3 linked regions of the Oryctolagus cuniculus genome follow. The protein of the gene in region 3 purifies or fractionates together with the protein of the main gene of each other region. This does not show direct contact. Links are inferred from orthologs where the notes say so. Each region holds a gene or a part of one and is shown on either strand. Other genes may lie near its edges. The genes, in order: PPP6C, ANKRD44 and PPP6R1.

Evidence for each region.
Region 1: the proteins of PPP6R1 (region 3) and PPP6C purify together in Homo sapiens (affinity purification with mass spectrometry; 11 studies listed by BioGRID and IntAct, with this or other methods). This does not show direct contact. The link is inferred for Oryctolagus cuniculus from reciprocal best matches to the Homo sapiens genes PPP6R1 and PPP6C.
Region 2: the proteins of PPP6R1 (region 3) and ANKRD44 purify together in Homo sapiens (co-immunoprecipitation; 5 studies listed by BioGRID and IntAct, counting the BioPlex papers as one, with this or other methods). This does not show direct contact. The link is inferred for Oryctolagus cuniculus from reciprocal best matches to the Homo sapiens genes PPP6R1 and ANKRD44.

Annotation. Positions count from the first base shown.
Region 1 is NC_091432.1:229,001,637-229,005,573, reverse strand, and holds the start of PPP6C (serine/threonine-protein phosphatase 6 catalytic subunit), read left to right. Parts: upstream 1-1,130; 5' UTR 1,131-1,348; coding exon 1,349-1,423; intron 1,424-1,494; exon of another isoform or gene 1,495-2,067; intron 2,068-3,937.
Region 2 is NC_091434.1:43,296,589-43,300,096, forward strand, and holds part of ANKRD44 (serine/threonine-protein phosphatase 6 regulatory ankyrin repeat subunit B), read left to right. Parts: coding exon 1-33; intron 34-2,493; coding exon 2,494-2,585; intron 2,586-3,378; coding exon 3,379-3,414; coding exon of another isoform or gene 3,415-3,440; exon of another isoform or gene 3,441-3,484; intron 3,485-3,508. UniProt on the Homo sapiens protein: Putative regulatory subunit of protein phosphatase 6 (PP6) that may be involved in the recognition of phosphoprotein substrates.
Region 3 is NC_091449.1:3,632,032-3,636,294, reverse strand, and holds the start of PPP6R1 (serine/threonine-protein phosphatase 6 regulatory subunit 1), read right to left. Parts: upstream 2,807-4,263; 5' UTR 2,239-2,806; intron 256-2,238; exon of another isoform or gene 234-255; intron 192-233; exon of another isoform or gene 48-191; intron 1-47. UniProt on the Homo sapiens protein: Regulatory subunit of protein phosphatase 6 (PP6). May function as a scaffolding PP6 subunit. Involved in the PP6-mediated dephosphorylation of NFKBIE opposing its degradation in response to TNF-alpha.

The sequences.
Region 1 (3,937 bases), on a different chromosome or scaffold from region 3:
TCTCTCTCTCTCCTTCTGTGTGTGACTGTGACTTTCAAATAAATAAATCCTTAAAAAACAAAACAAAAAAACACAGTATTCTTCTCCTTTTCTCTCTGATCTCTCCTACTCCTCTCACTTCTGCTCCAACCACACAAATCTTGCTGTTTCCCGAAGACTTTAGATAGGCGTCCACCTCAGGGCCTCCGCACCAGCTCCTCCCTATCATATCCCTCAGGTAGCTGCATGGGCAACTCCCCCACTTCTTAGATGGCTTTCAAAGTTCATGTCCTTACTCTGCCGCGTTGTTCCCCTAGCACACGTCACTTTCTCAAACGCTATGCATTGATGGCAGCGTGGTGTCTTCCCGTCCTAGCTGTCAACCACAGGCTGTGGACGCCCGTCTTTGTCTACTGTGTTGACTGCGTATCCCAAGCGCCTGCAGTTGTACCTGGCCCATGGCTGGTGTTTGGTAAACAGCTGCGGAATGACGAATGCCTCAATGAATGCTGAAGGCCTACTCAGTGCCAGGTGATCTTACTCGGTTGGGGACACAACATTAAACTCCCTCCCTCGTGGGACTCCCACGGAGGTCTGCTTAAGCCAGCTGACCTGTTTTCCAATGTTGACTCTACCGTTCGTTTCCGGTGACATGTGGGGCAAGTTACGTAGGGTCTCCAAGCCTTACCTTCCCAGCAATCATGAGAATTAATGGGGGAAGGGGAGTGGGGCGGGGAAGAAAACACAGAATAAAAGAACCCTTGCGGCATCCGGTACAAGAAACGCTTTGACATTTCCTTTCTCATCCTCAAGACCAGACGACTGGGAGTTCGGCTTCTCCGCCACAGGTTTAACCGAGGTTTTTGCAAAACCTTGGAAAGGCGCAACCAGGCTACTACGGGCAGGCTTACCCAATTTCTAACTGAGGATGTCCTGTTGAGAGAGGGCCTAAAAGGGTCGCAACGAGAAGCCACAGAACGCTCAGGTCACCTACTTCGCCGTTTTGCCTCCGATAAGCCTTGCCGGGTCTCCAGGGGTGAAGTACCGGGAAGAGGAGGAAAAAGAGAAGCCGGCTCCAACTGAAAACTACAAATCCCAGCAACCCCCGCGGCAGGCAACTACGGGTCCCAGCAGGTTTCGCGGGCGGAATTGAGGGGACCTCTTCGGGCTGCAGCCTGGGATCAGTCAGCGAGGGCGCGGGACGTGCGGGGGCGGCGCGGAGAATCCGGTCAAGCTTTAACGTCGCTGCGCAGACGCCACTCACGGGCCGGACGTGACGTAGGGAGAGTTCCGGCTTCGGCCTCCGCCGCTGCCGCCGCTAGTACCGTCGCCGCCGCCGCCGCCGCCGCCGCGGCTTGTTCCTCCTAAAATGGCGCCGCTAGACCTGGACAAGTATGTGGAGATAGCGCGGCTGTGCAAGTACCTGCCAGAAAACGACCTGAAGGTGAGCCCGGCCGGGGCGGGAGTGCCGCTTGCGGGGCTCGCCCCTTCCGGCTGTGGGGCGCCCGCCGGTCCGCCCTTCCTCTCTCCGCGGGACCCCTGCCGGGTGTCCAGTCCTGTCGCGGTGGAGAGCCCTCCGCGGTGGGAGGCGACCCTCGGGCTCGGCGTCACGCGGGGAGACGGGAGAGCCCGAGTGCCCGGATGCTGTCCTGGCTTCCCCCGCCGGGGATCCCGAGGGCTGTCGCGGGCTCTCCTCCGGGGTCGCCCCTCCTGGCCTGCGGGCTGCCCCTGGACGCGGAGCCGTTACAGCTTCGCCGGGAAGACCCCGCTCTTCCCCAGCCGCAGCGCCGAGCCCCGGAGCCGGAGTCGAGCCCCAGCGGGTGGTGCTCCCCGGAGGTGACAGGAGCGCGGGTGGCCGGCTCCCGGGGTCGCTGAGGTCCGGCGGGGCGGCGGGGCCCGAGCGGAGTAAGAGGACGTCGTGTCCCTCCGTACGCCGCTCCACATTGCTCCTTGGGCGTGCTGGCTCTCGTGCCAATTCAGCTGGGAATCCCGGTCTGTGGCGGTGTTGGGTAAAGTGTGCAGATACCAGTAGCTTGCTCGCCTGGAAGTCGTGCCCCCGAAACCCACTTCTTGGCTTTTTGGAAGAAGGTGACTTTTTGCTTGTTATTGCCCGAGTGGTGGGATTGTGTGTGTGGGTGCAGGAGTCGGGGTCGGATAATTTTGGAAAAGCGTTTCTGTGCTTTGTTGAAACCAGTGCTTGGGTTTCCAGCAGCGGTTACCCGCTAGTGCCGGTGTCTCATTTGTTCTGTTAACTTTGATGGGCTCTGTGCTAAGTGGGTAAGCTGTAAACGGTTCGAGTGCTTTTCATGCTTTCATTAAGCCGTGGGTTGTAAAGTTACAAAAGTAGATGTGACCGTGTTTGTGTTTTTGCTATATCCTTTGGTACCGGAAGTTGATATTTAACCTCACTCAACAAGTATGCAAAATTTTTCAGGTTCCCTGGCCTGATGTGAATATAAATGAATTGTATGTGCTTATGCTGGGATAATCACTCTCGTCCCCCCCCCCCCCATTTTTAATAGGATAGCTTCACTAAGGACAGCTTTTATTAATGGTAGTGTAGTGTTTCTGCTCCCAGTGCTTCAGACGCGTGCTGTGTAGCCAGCATTGGGAACCCGTTCATGGAGAACTGGCCAGGCCTCTGCTGGTAGCATTGTTCATCTTTTTGGTGAATTCATTGCATGTTAATGAATCGATGTGGAATTCTGTTTTCATTTGTTATGTTTAAAGCCGTTTTGTACTTTGTGATTTCAGTTTCAGAAAATATGTCTTGATATTACCTTGAGGTGGGACACAAATTACTTGAAAAACAGTTGGATTTTCTTTAGATCTCTTAGTCTGCTAAACGTTATCTGAAGGAAGTAATTATTAAACCATTTTATTTCCTGTTGAAACATAGTTGGACTGTATTTATTTGCATCTGATTCTTAATAAACTTTATATCTTCTGAGCAACTACTTAAATTCTGGATTTTTCTCTGTTAGAGACTTCTGTTTTGGAAAATTTTTTTTTTCTTTCTTTTTTTTTTTTTGACAGGCAGAGTGGACAGTGAGAGAGAGAGACAGAGAGAAAGGTCTTCCTTTTGCCGTTGGTTCACCCTCCAACCCTCCAATGGCCGCCACGGCTGGTGCGCTGTGGCCGGCGCATCACGCTGATCCGAAGCCAGGAGCCAGGTGCTTTTCCTGGTCTCCCGTGCGGGTGCAGGGCCCAAGCACTTGGGCCATCCTCCACTGCACTCCCGGGCCATGCAGAGAGCTGGCCTGGAAGGGGGGCAACCGGGACAGAATCCGGCACCCCAACTGGGACTAGAACCCGGTGTGCCGGTGCCGCAAGGCGGAGGATTAACCTAGTGAGCCGCGGCGCCGGCACCTCCAGAGTATTTAAAGAAATTTAATTTATGTTTCTTTTTCTTGGCATGAAGTACAAACTAAAAATAGGCAGACCAAAAAATACTCTAGGAGCACCTTTGATGCTTTCAAGTCAGTAGAAAATATTCTGTTAGAGGATGGAAAGAATTAATTGGGGCCACTTAATGAACATGATGGAAGAGACTTGTTTGGGTAGAAAGGAAAGTAAATTTTTATTTGTATTTTAAGTTTATTAGAAGTTAGAGGTGCAACATTAAATAATAAATACATAGGATGTTCAGGTGTGATAACAAGTTCTTTATAACTGAATTTGAAATGGTCAAAATACTAGTACCAGGTCGAATCTGCCTGTTTTGAGGGAATAAGAATAAAGTACCTGAGAGTGAGTGGACAACAGAGCTCAATAGATGGTTTAGATTTCATAAGTTGCTAAGTGAAAGAAGGAGTGATAAAAGTCTAGTTTGGTGCTCGCTTTGGCAGCACATATACTAAAAGTCTAGTTTGCTGAATATGTAAGTACTTTTGGAGGAGAGAGTCTATAACTTGAAGGTTGTCTGAATTTTTAGAAAATTTTTTTTTCAAGATTTATT
Region 2 (3,508 bases), on a different chromosome or scaffold from region 3:
CCTCATTAATGCAAAAAATAATGCACTGCACACGTAAGTAACTTTTATTTACTTATTTTTTTTTAAAGCCAGCTTAACTTTATTTATTTATTTATTTATTTATTTATTTTTGACAGGCAGAGTGAACAGTGAGAGAGAGAGACAGAGAGAAAGGTCTTCCTTTGCCGTTGGTTCACCCTCCAATGGCCGCAGCGGCTGGCGCGCTGCGGCCGGCGCACAGCGCTGATCGGATGGCAGGAGCTTTTCCTGGTCTCCCATGGGGTGCAGGGCCCAAGCACCTGGGTCATCCTCCACTGCACTCCCTGGCCACAGCAGAGGGCTGGCCTGGAAGAGGGGCAACCGGGACAGAATCTGGCACCCCAACCGGGACTAGAACCCGGTGTGCCGGCGCCACTAGGTGGAGGATTAGCCTAGTGAGCCGCGGCGCCGGCTTTATTTACTTATTTTTAAAAATTTTTTTTGACAGAGTGGACAGTGAGAGAGAGAGACAGAGAGAAAGGTCTTCCTTTTCTGTTGGTTAACCCTCCAATGGCCGCCATGACTGGTGCTCTGCGGCCGGCGCACCGCGCTGATCCAAAGGCAGGAGCCAGGTGGTTCTCCTGGTCTCCCATGGGGTGCAGGGCCCAAGCACTTGGGCCATCCTCCACTGCACTCCCGGGCCACAGCAGAGAGCTGACCTGGAAGAGTGGCAACCGGGACAGAATCTGGCACCCCGACTGGGACTAGAACCCGGTGTGCCGGTGCTGCAAGGCAGAGGTTTAGCCTATTGAGCTGTGGCACCAGCCGTAAGTAACTTTTAAAGTCTTACTTGAACCCAGAGTCATAGTTATTGTTTCGAGAAGTATTAGGAGCCTGCTGTGTGTCAGGCTAGCATAGGGGAGCACAGCAGTGAGAAAGGCAGACCTGGATTTTTCTCCATGATGCTGACCGTTGCCCACCCACAGTTGTTTACCTGGCTAGGCAGTTTTGCTTAGAGTCCTCTTTTTGATACGCTGCCATAGCATTTTTTAAGGTCTGTGTTTTTCTTTGCTGATACTTCTATAGTAATATAATTTTAGCAGACTGTTAGAAAAATCATATAGGCTTATGGACACATTAGTATTATATATTAGCATTATGTATTCTAACTGGAAAATGACAGTTTTATAAATCAGGTTCCCAGAATACATTTGAAGAGTTTCTAAGCTATTTGTCTCAATTATATATATATATATATATATACATATATATATTTTTTTCTTTTTGACAGGCAGAGTGGATAGTGAGAGAGAGACAGAGAGAAAGGTCTTCCTTTGCCGTTGGTTCACCCTCCAGTGGCCACCGCGGCTGGCGCGCTGCGGCCAGCGCATCACGCTGATCCAAAGCCAGGAGCCAGGTGCTTCTCCTGGTCTCCCATGGGGTGCAGGGCCCAAGCACTTGGGCCATCCTCCACTGCACTCCCTGGCCACAGCAGAGAGCTGGCCTGGAAGAGGGGCAACCGGGACAGAATCCGGCGCCCCGACCGGGACTAGAACCCAGTGTGCCGGCGCCGCAAGGCGGAGGATTAGTCTAGTGAGCCGCGGCGCCGGCCTGTCTCAATTATATTTTAATATGATTCAGTGTAACCCTTGGTGTGAAAGATCTCAAACCTGATTTATTTTCCATTCTAGAAAGTTATTTATGCATTTGTTTTAAAGACAAAGGACAATTAGGAATTTATTTTTCCATTTAAGATTCTTAGGTAGTACATAGTGCTGTATGCAGAGGTTAACATTATTTTTTAAGGTATTATGAATTCAGTAAAACATCTGTGTACTTTTAGTAATAATAAGATTTGAGATTATATACAAGGGTACTTCAAAAAGTTCATGGAATATGTGTGTTATTTTAAAACTGTGCATATATTCTAACTTTTTTTTGTACCAAAATAAGCTTATTAGAGCAAATGTTTAATGATTATGAAAGTGCCTGGGTTCCATTCCTGGCTGAATCTCTTAACTCCTGGTAGCATGGAGGCTGGCAGACAGCAGTGATGGCTCAAGCATTTGGGTTCCTGCCACCCATGTGGGAGACCAAGACTGTGTTCCTGGCTCTTGAATTTGTCCCCAGCTCTGGCTGCTGTGAGCATGTGGAGAGTGAACAAATGGATGGGAGTCAGTCTCTGTCTCTTCCTCTCTCCTCTACTTCTCAAATAATTTTCAAACGTTAAAAAAAAGCTTGTCTTTTAATTCTATTGTTGCATGAACTTTTTAAGTACCTGCACATATATGGATAATGTCTATGCCTGTCCTGTGTGCCACAATGATTCAAGGCTATGGCAGAAATCAAGCAAGAACCCGATACAGTGTGTTCTGTGTTCTTTCTCTATCTTCCTTGTTACTGACATTGGGATTGAGATGCAGTGTATGTATAAATATCTTGTTAAGTCTTCCTTTTAGTGGGATAGGCTAACTAGAATGCCCCAATATCACACAAATATGTGTCCCAGGTGATGCTTGATGCTGTGTTTTTTAGACCCCTCCACATTGCTGCACGCAATGGCTTGAAGGTGGTAGTCGAGGAGTTGCTGGCCAAAGGAGCCTGTGTGCTTGCTGTAGATGAAAATGGTAAGTGGAAAAAATAAACATTACTGCCTGTGTCTTCCATATGCCGATGGAAGCCAGAGGAAAATGAGAGAGGTTGGAGCTTATGAACAGGCAGTAATAATTCTCTCCCTCTTGAAAGTCCCATGTGTGTGAGAAGTCCAGCAAGGTTAATTTGTCCTGTCTGTCATTTTGTAAAACACATGGTCCACCTATAGCCCACCAGTGCTATCCATTCTGCATGTGTCAGCAGTTGGTCTCTAACTCCTCAGCGTGGTGGTTAAAATCATTTAGACTCACTAAAATAAAAAAAACTTCCAACTTGGCATTCAGAATTCTAACTGCATACACTGAAGAGTTAGGGATTACACATGTCATTAGTGCATGCTCAAGGGCTCAGATAAAAACCTAGGTTTTTGATTGTATTTCAATTCATTCTGAGATCAAACCATTTTTTTAAAGTCCAGATCAGAACTCATATTCCCAGTATGGAAATTTAGGGAACATGAATAAAAATTTTAATTAGTGTCCAGGCTTGAAAGCTTCTCCTGATCTATATAATGCTTCTTTTCTAAACGAGCTGATTCTTAACAGAAGCTTTCTACTCTGCTTCCTAAGAAATTTTGAAAACTAATGAATCCTAGAATTGTACTAAGCTACCATTTAAGCATAACACCTATTAATTAACCTTGGGGAGCAAAAGAGGAACTTCTGGATATTTATGAATTAAGTGATTTTTAAAAATGTGGCATTAATTGTGGCATTTAATTAAAGCATTATAATGTATTAATATAACTCAATTAACTGCTTATTACAGGTATTGGAATTAGCAGCTCATGCCTATTTCTCAGAAGTAAGCAGCCATATTGCCATCAGTAGCTAACTCTTAGTAGTTTTGTTTCTGCAGCCCCATTTACCCAGCATGTACCCTGCTCCATCCCCAACAT
Region 3 (4,263 bases):
CAGGCAGCGCACATGTCCACCGCGCTGTCCGCTCAGCACCCAGCTACCTGCCCCCGGCTACTCCTCGCCACGTCCACCTCTCCCCGTCGTGGTCAGCATCTCACGGCTCTGAGCCCAGCACCGACGGGACAGACAACGCGGCTTCCCTTCCAGAACCTTCCTCCTTCCGGGCAGGTGCGCGCGCCGGTGGGCTGGCAAGGGCCCGGGCAGCACCGCCACACGGCGGCCGTCACCTTCACGTATCTGCACGCGCCGCTCCTCCCGGGGGGAAGGCTGAGCCTCCTGCCGCCCTCCATGTGTCAGCCCCCGCTCAGCCTCCCATCCGGCCAGTCTCACCAGTCCTGCGCGCTGCGTCACCCATCACAACACAGCAATTGTGACAGTCCCGCTACACCTGTCTCCCCAGGGCAGGGCCTGGGGACACCTTCCTCTTGGGAGCCCGGGACAGGCTGCCTGCCCACGCCACAGCTCACAGGCCCGGAGCCAAGTCCCTCCTCGTGAGAAGCGAGACAGCCGGGCAGAGGCAGGCTCCAGGCGGGGGCTAAGCCTCAGCGGTGGGGTCGGGCGGGGGCGGAGGGCAAAGGACCAGGCGTGAACGGGGAGGTGGCAGCCCCGGCGGCAGGGCCCGGGCAGGGCTGCAGGGAGCCGGCGTGGATGACTGAGCAGACGGACCTGGGGGAAGTGTGGGCAGACGGGGGAGACCCAGGGGGCGGCAGGAGAGCGAGCAGGACCCGAGGCCTGGGGGGGGGCCGATGGCAGAGGCTGAACTTGGGGGGACTGAGGGGAGAGACCCAGAGGATGGCGGGAAGGAGGACAGGACCCAGAGGCTTGGAGGGACCGAGGGGAGAGGCTGAGACCTGGGGGGACCGAGGGGAGAGACCCAGGGGATGGCGGGAAAGAGAGCAGGACCCAGAGGCTTGGGGGGACCGAGGCGAGGGCCGGCGACTTGGGGGGACAGAGGGGAGAGACCCAGGTGATGGCGGGAAAGAGAACAGGACCCAGAGGCTTGGGGGGCTGAGGGGAGAGGCTGAACTTGGGGGGACCGAGGGGAAAGGCTGAGACCTGGGGGGACCGAGGGGAGAGGCTGAGACCTGGGGGGACTGAGGGGAGAGGCTGAGACCTGGGGGGACTGAGGGGAGAGACCCAGGGGACGGCAGGAAAGAGAACAAGATCCAGAGGCTTGGGGGGCTGAGGGCAGAGGCTGAACTTGGGGGGACTGAGGGGAGAGACCCAGAGGATGGCGGGAAGGACAGGACCCAGAGGCTTGGGGGGGCCGAGGGGAGAGACCCAGGGGATGGCGGGAAAGAGAACAGGACCCAGAGGCCTGGGGGGCCGAGGGGAGAGGCTGAACTTGGGGGGACTGAGGGGAGAGACCCAGAGGATGGCGGGAAGGACAGGACCCAGAGGCTTGGGGGGGCCGAGGGGAGAGACCCAGGGGATGGCGGGAAAGAGAACAGGACCCAGAGGCCTGGGGGGCCGAGGGGAGAGGCTGAACTTGGGGGGACCGAGGGGAAAGGCTGAGACCTGGGGGGACTGAGGGGAGAGACCAAGGGGACGGCGGGAAAGAGAACAAGACCCAGAGGCTTGGGGGGGCCGAGGGGAGGGCCAGAGACCAGGGGGGGCCGAGGGGAGGGCCAGAGACCAGGGGGGACCGAGGGGAGAGGCTGAGACCAGGGGGGATCGAGGGGAGAGGCTGAGACCTGGGGGGCCGAGAGGAGGGCCGGCGACTTGGGGGGACCGAGGGGAGAGACCAAGGGGATGGCGGGAAAGTGAACAGGACCCAGAGGCTTGGGGGGACCGAGGGGAGAGGCTGAGACCTGGGGGGCCGAGAGGAGGGCCGGCGACTTGGGGGGACCGAGGGGAGAGGCTGAGACCTGGGGGGCCGAGGGGAGAGGCTGAGACCTGGGGGGACCGAGAGGAGAGACCAAGGGGATGGCGGGAAAGTGAGCAGGACCCAGAGGCTTGGGGGGACCGAGGGAGAGGCTGAGACCTGGGGGGCCGAGGGGAGAGCCGGCGACTTGGGGGACTGCGGCTAAGAGACTTGGGGGACCGCGAGGAGAGGCTGAGAGACTTGGGAGCCAGAGAGAGTAAAACGCTTGGGAGAACTGAGGGGAGAGCCGGCGACCTGGGGCCCGAGGGGGAGCAGACAGCGCGCGGGACAGGCGGCGGCCTGGGACAGCCAGCGGCGACAGGGGCTGAGGGGACCCGGGGACGCAGACTCGGAGCCGGGGCGCTCACCTGCGCGGGGGGGCGGCGGCTCCTCGCACTCGGGGCTCATCGGGGCGCCCCCGCCGCCCCGCCGCCCGAGGCTCCGGTCCCTGCTCCGGGGCCCGGGGTGTGGGGGCGGGGGCGGCGGCGGGGTCGCGCGCAGGCGCCGGGGCTGGGGCGGCGGGGCCCGCGCACGCGCCCTCGGGGCGGGCGGCCTCAAGCGTCGAGTCCCGCGGAGTTCGCGGTCAGCGCCGAGGAGGGTCCGGACGGCTCGCGAGGAGGACGCGGGGGCCTCCGCGGCCCACGGGCGAGGCGGCGGGGGTCAGCTGGGCCGCGCGGGCCGCGCAGGCGCCTCGGCAGGGGAAGACGGAGGAAGTCGCCCCGGTTTCGTCCGCCCAACCCAGCGCGCTGCTGGAGGCGGTAACGGCTTCGGCCGCCGTCCGAGGGGCCCGCAGTGTTGAAGCCGAGCCCCGCTTCTCTCAGTACCCGCTTCCGCACACCCGCGGGTCTCCCCGGCTCCCGCAGCCCGCTCGGGGCCTCCGACGCCCTCCTCCCTCCGCCACTATCCCACAATCCCCGTAGCGCAGGAGACGCACAGGCCCCGCCCTCCCGCGCTCGTCGCGCTGCGCAGGTGCGCCGGGGACATGGCGCCTGGGCCCCGAGTGCGCGTGCGCCCGGGCCCCGGCGCCCTCCCCCGCCCCGCCCGAGCCCCGCCCACCCCGGAACACCGCCGCAGGTGCGCCTGCGCCCGTTGGTGCCAACGGCCTCCGGCGTGACCGCGGACGCGCCAGTGCGCAGGCGCCGCTGCGCGCCCGGCCGGCGGCGTCCCGGAGTCCCCACCGCAGGCCCACGGACATCTTGTTCGCGCTGCCTCCGGGGTCTTCGGTGCCCGCAAGCCCTGGCGCGTCGCTGCTGCCCGGGTCTCGGGCGACAGCCGGTTCCTGCTGCGGCTGACCCGTGCCCGGGCGTTCCCCAGGCCCTGTCCCCGCGTCCTCGAAGACCGCGGTCTGCAAGGGCTCTTTTGACCTTGTGTCGCGGCCATTAGGGGAGTGAACCAGCGGACGGAAGACCTGTCTCTCGGTCACCATGCCTTTCGAATAAATAAACCTTATTTGAAAGAGTTAGAGGGAGGGAGGTCTTCCATCCATCGGTGGTTCGCTCCCCAGATGGCCCTGACGGCCGGGCCGGACCGAGCCGAAGCCAGGAATCAGGAGCCTCCAGTCTCCCACGCGGGTGCAGGGCCCGGATGGGATGCGGGCGCCGCAGGCGGCAGCCTAACCGGCTGCGCCACAAAGCTGGCCCCTGGAGGTTTTCCTAGAAAGTGGACTCGGGGCCGGGGCTGTGTCGCAGAGGGTTAACGCCCTGGCCTGCAGCGCCAGCATCCCATATGGACGCCGGTTCGAATCCCGGCTGCTCCTGTTCCCATCCAGCTCTCTGCTGTGGCCTGGGAAAGCAGTGGAGGATGGCCCAAGTGCTTGGGCCCCTGCACCAGCGTGGGAGACCTGGAGGAAGCTCCTGGCTCCTGGCTTCAGATCGGCGCAGCTCCGGCCATTGTGGCCATCTGGGGAGTGAACCAATGGATGGAAGACCTCTCTGTCTCTCTGCCTCTTCTCTCTCTGTAACTCTGACCTTCAAGTAAATAATTAAATCTTTAAAAAAGTGGACTTGGGTACCTGTTGTTTGCAGCTTGGAGCAGGTGATGTCTCCCCAGAGGAAGCAGAGCTGTAGGATATGTGTTTATTTTATTTATTTGACAGAGTTAGAGAGAGCGGTAGAGACAGAGAGAGGTCTTCCATGTGCTGCTTCACTCCCCAGATGGCCACAATGGCCGGAGCTGGGCGGATCCGAAGCCGGGGGCCAGGAGCTTCTTCCAGGTCTCCCACGCAGGTGCAGGGGCCCAAGGACTTGGGCCATCTTCACTGCTTAGGCCACAGCAGAGAGCTGGGTTGGAAGAGGAGCAGCTGGGACTTGAACTGGTGCCCATTTGGGATGCCGGCGCTTCAGGCCAGGGTGTTAAGCCGCTGGGCCACAGCACCGGCCCCAGGATATGTGTAG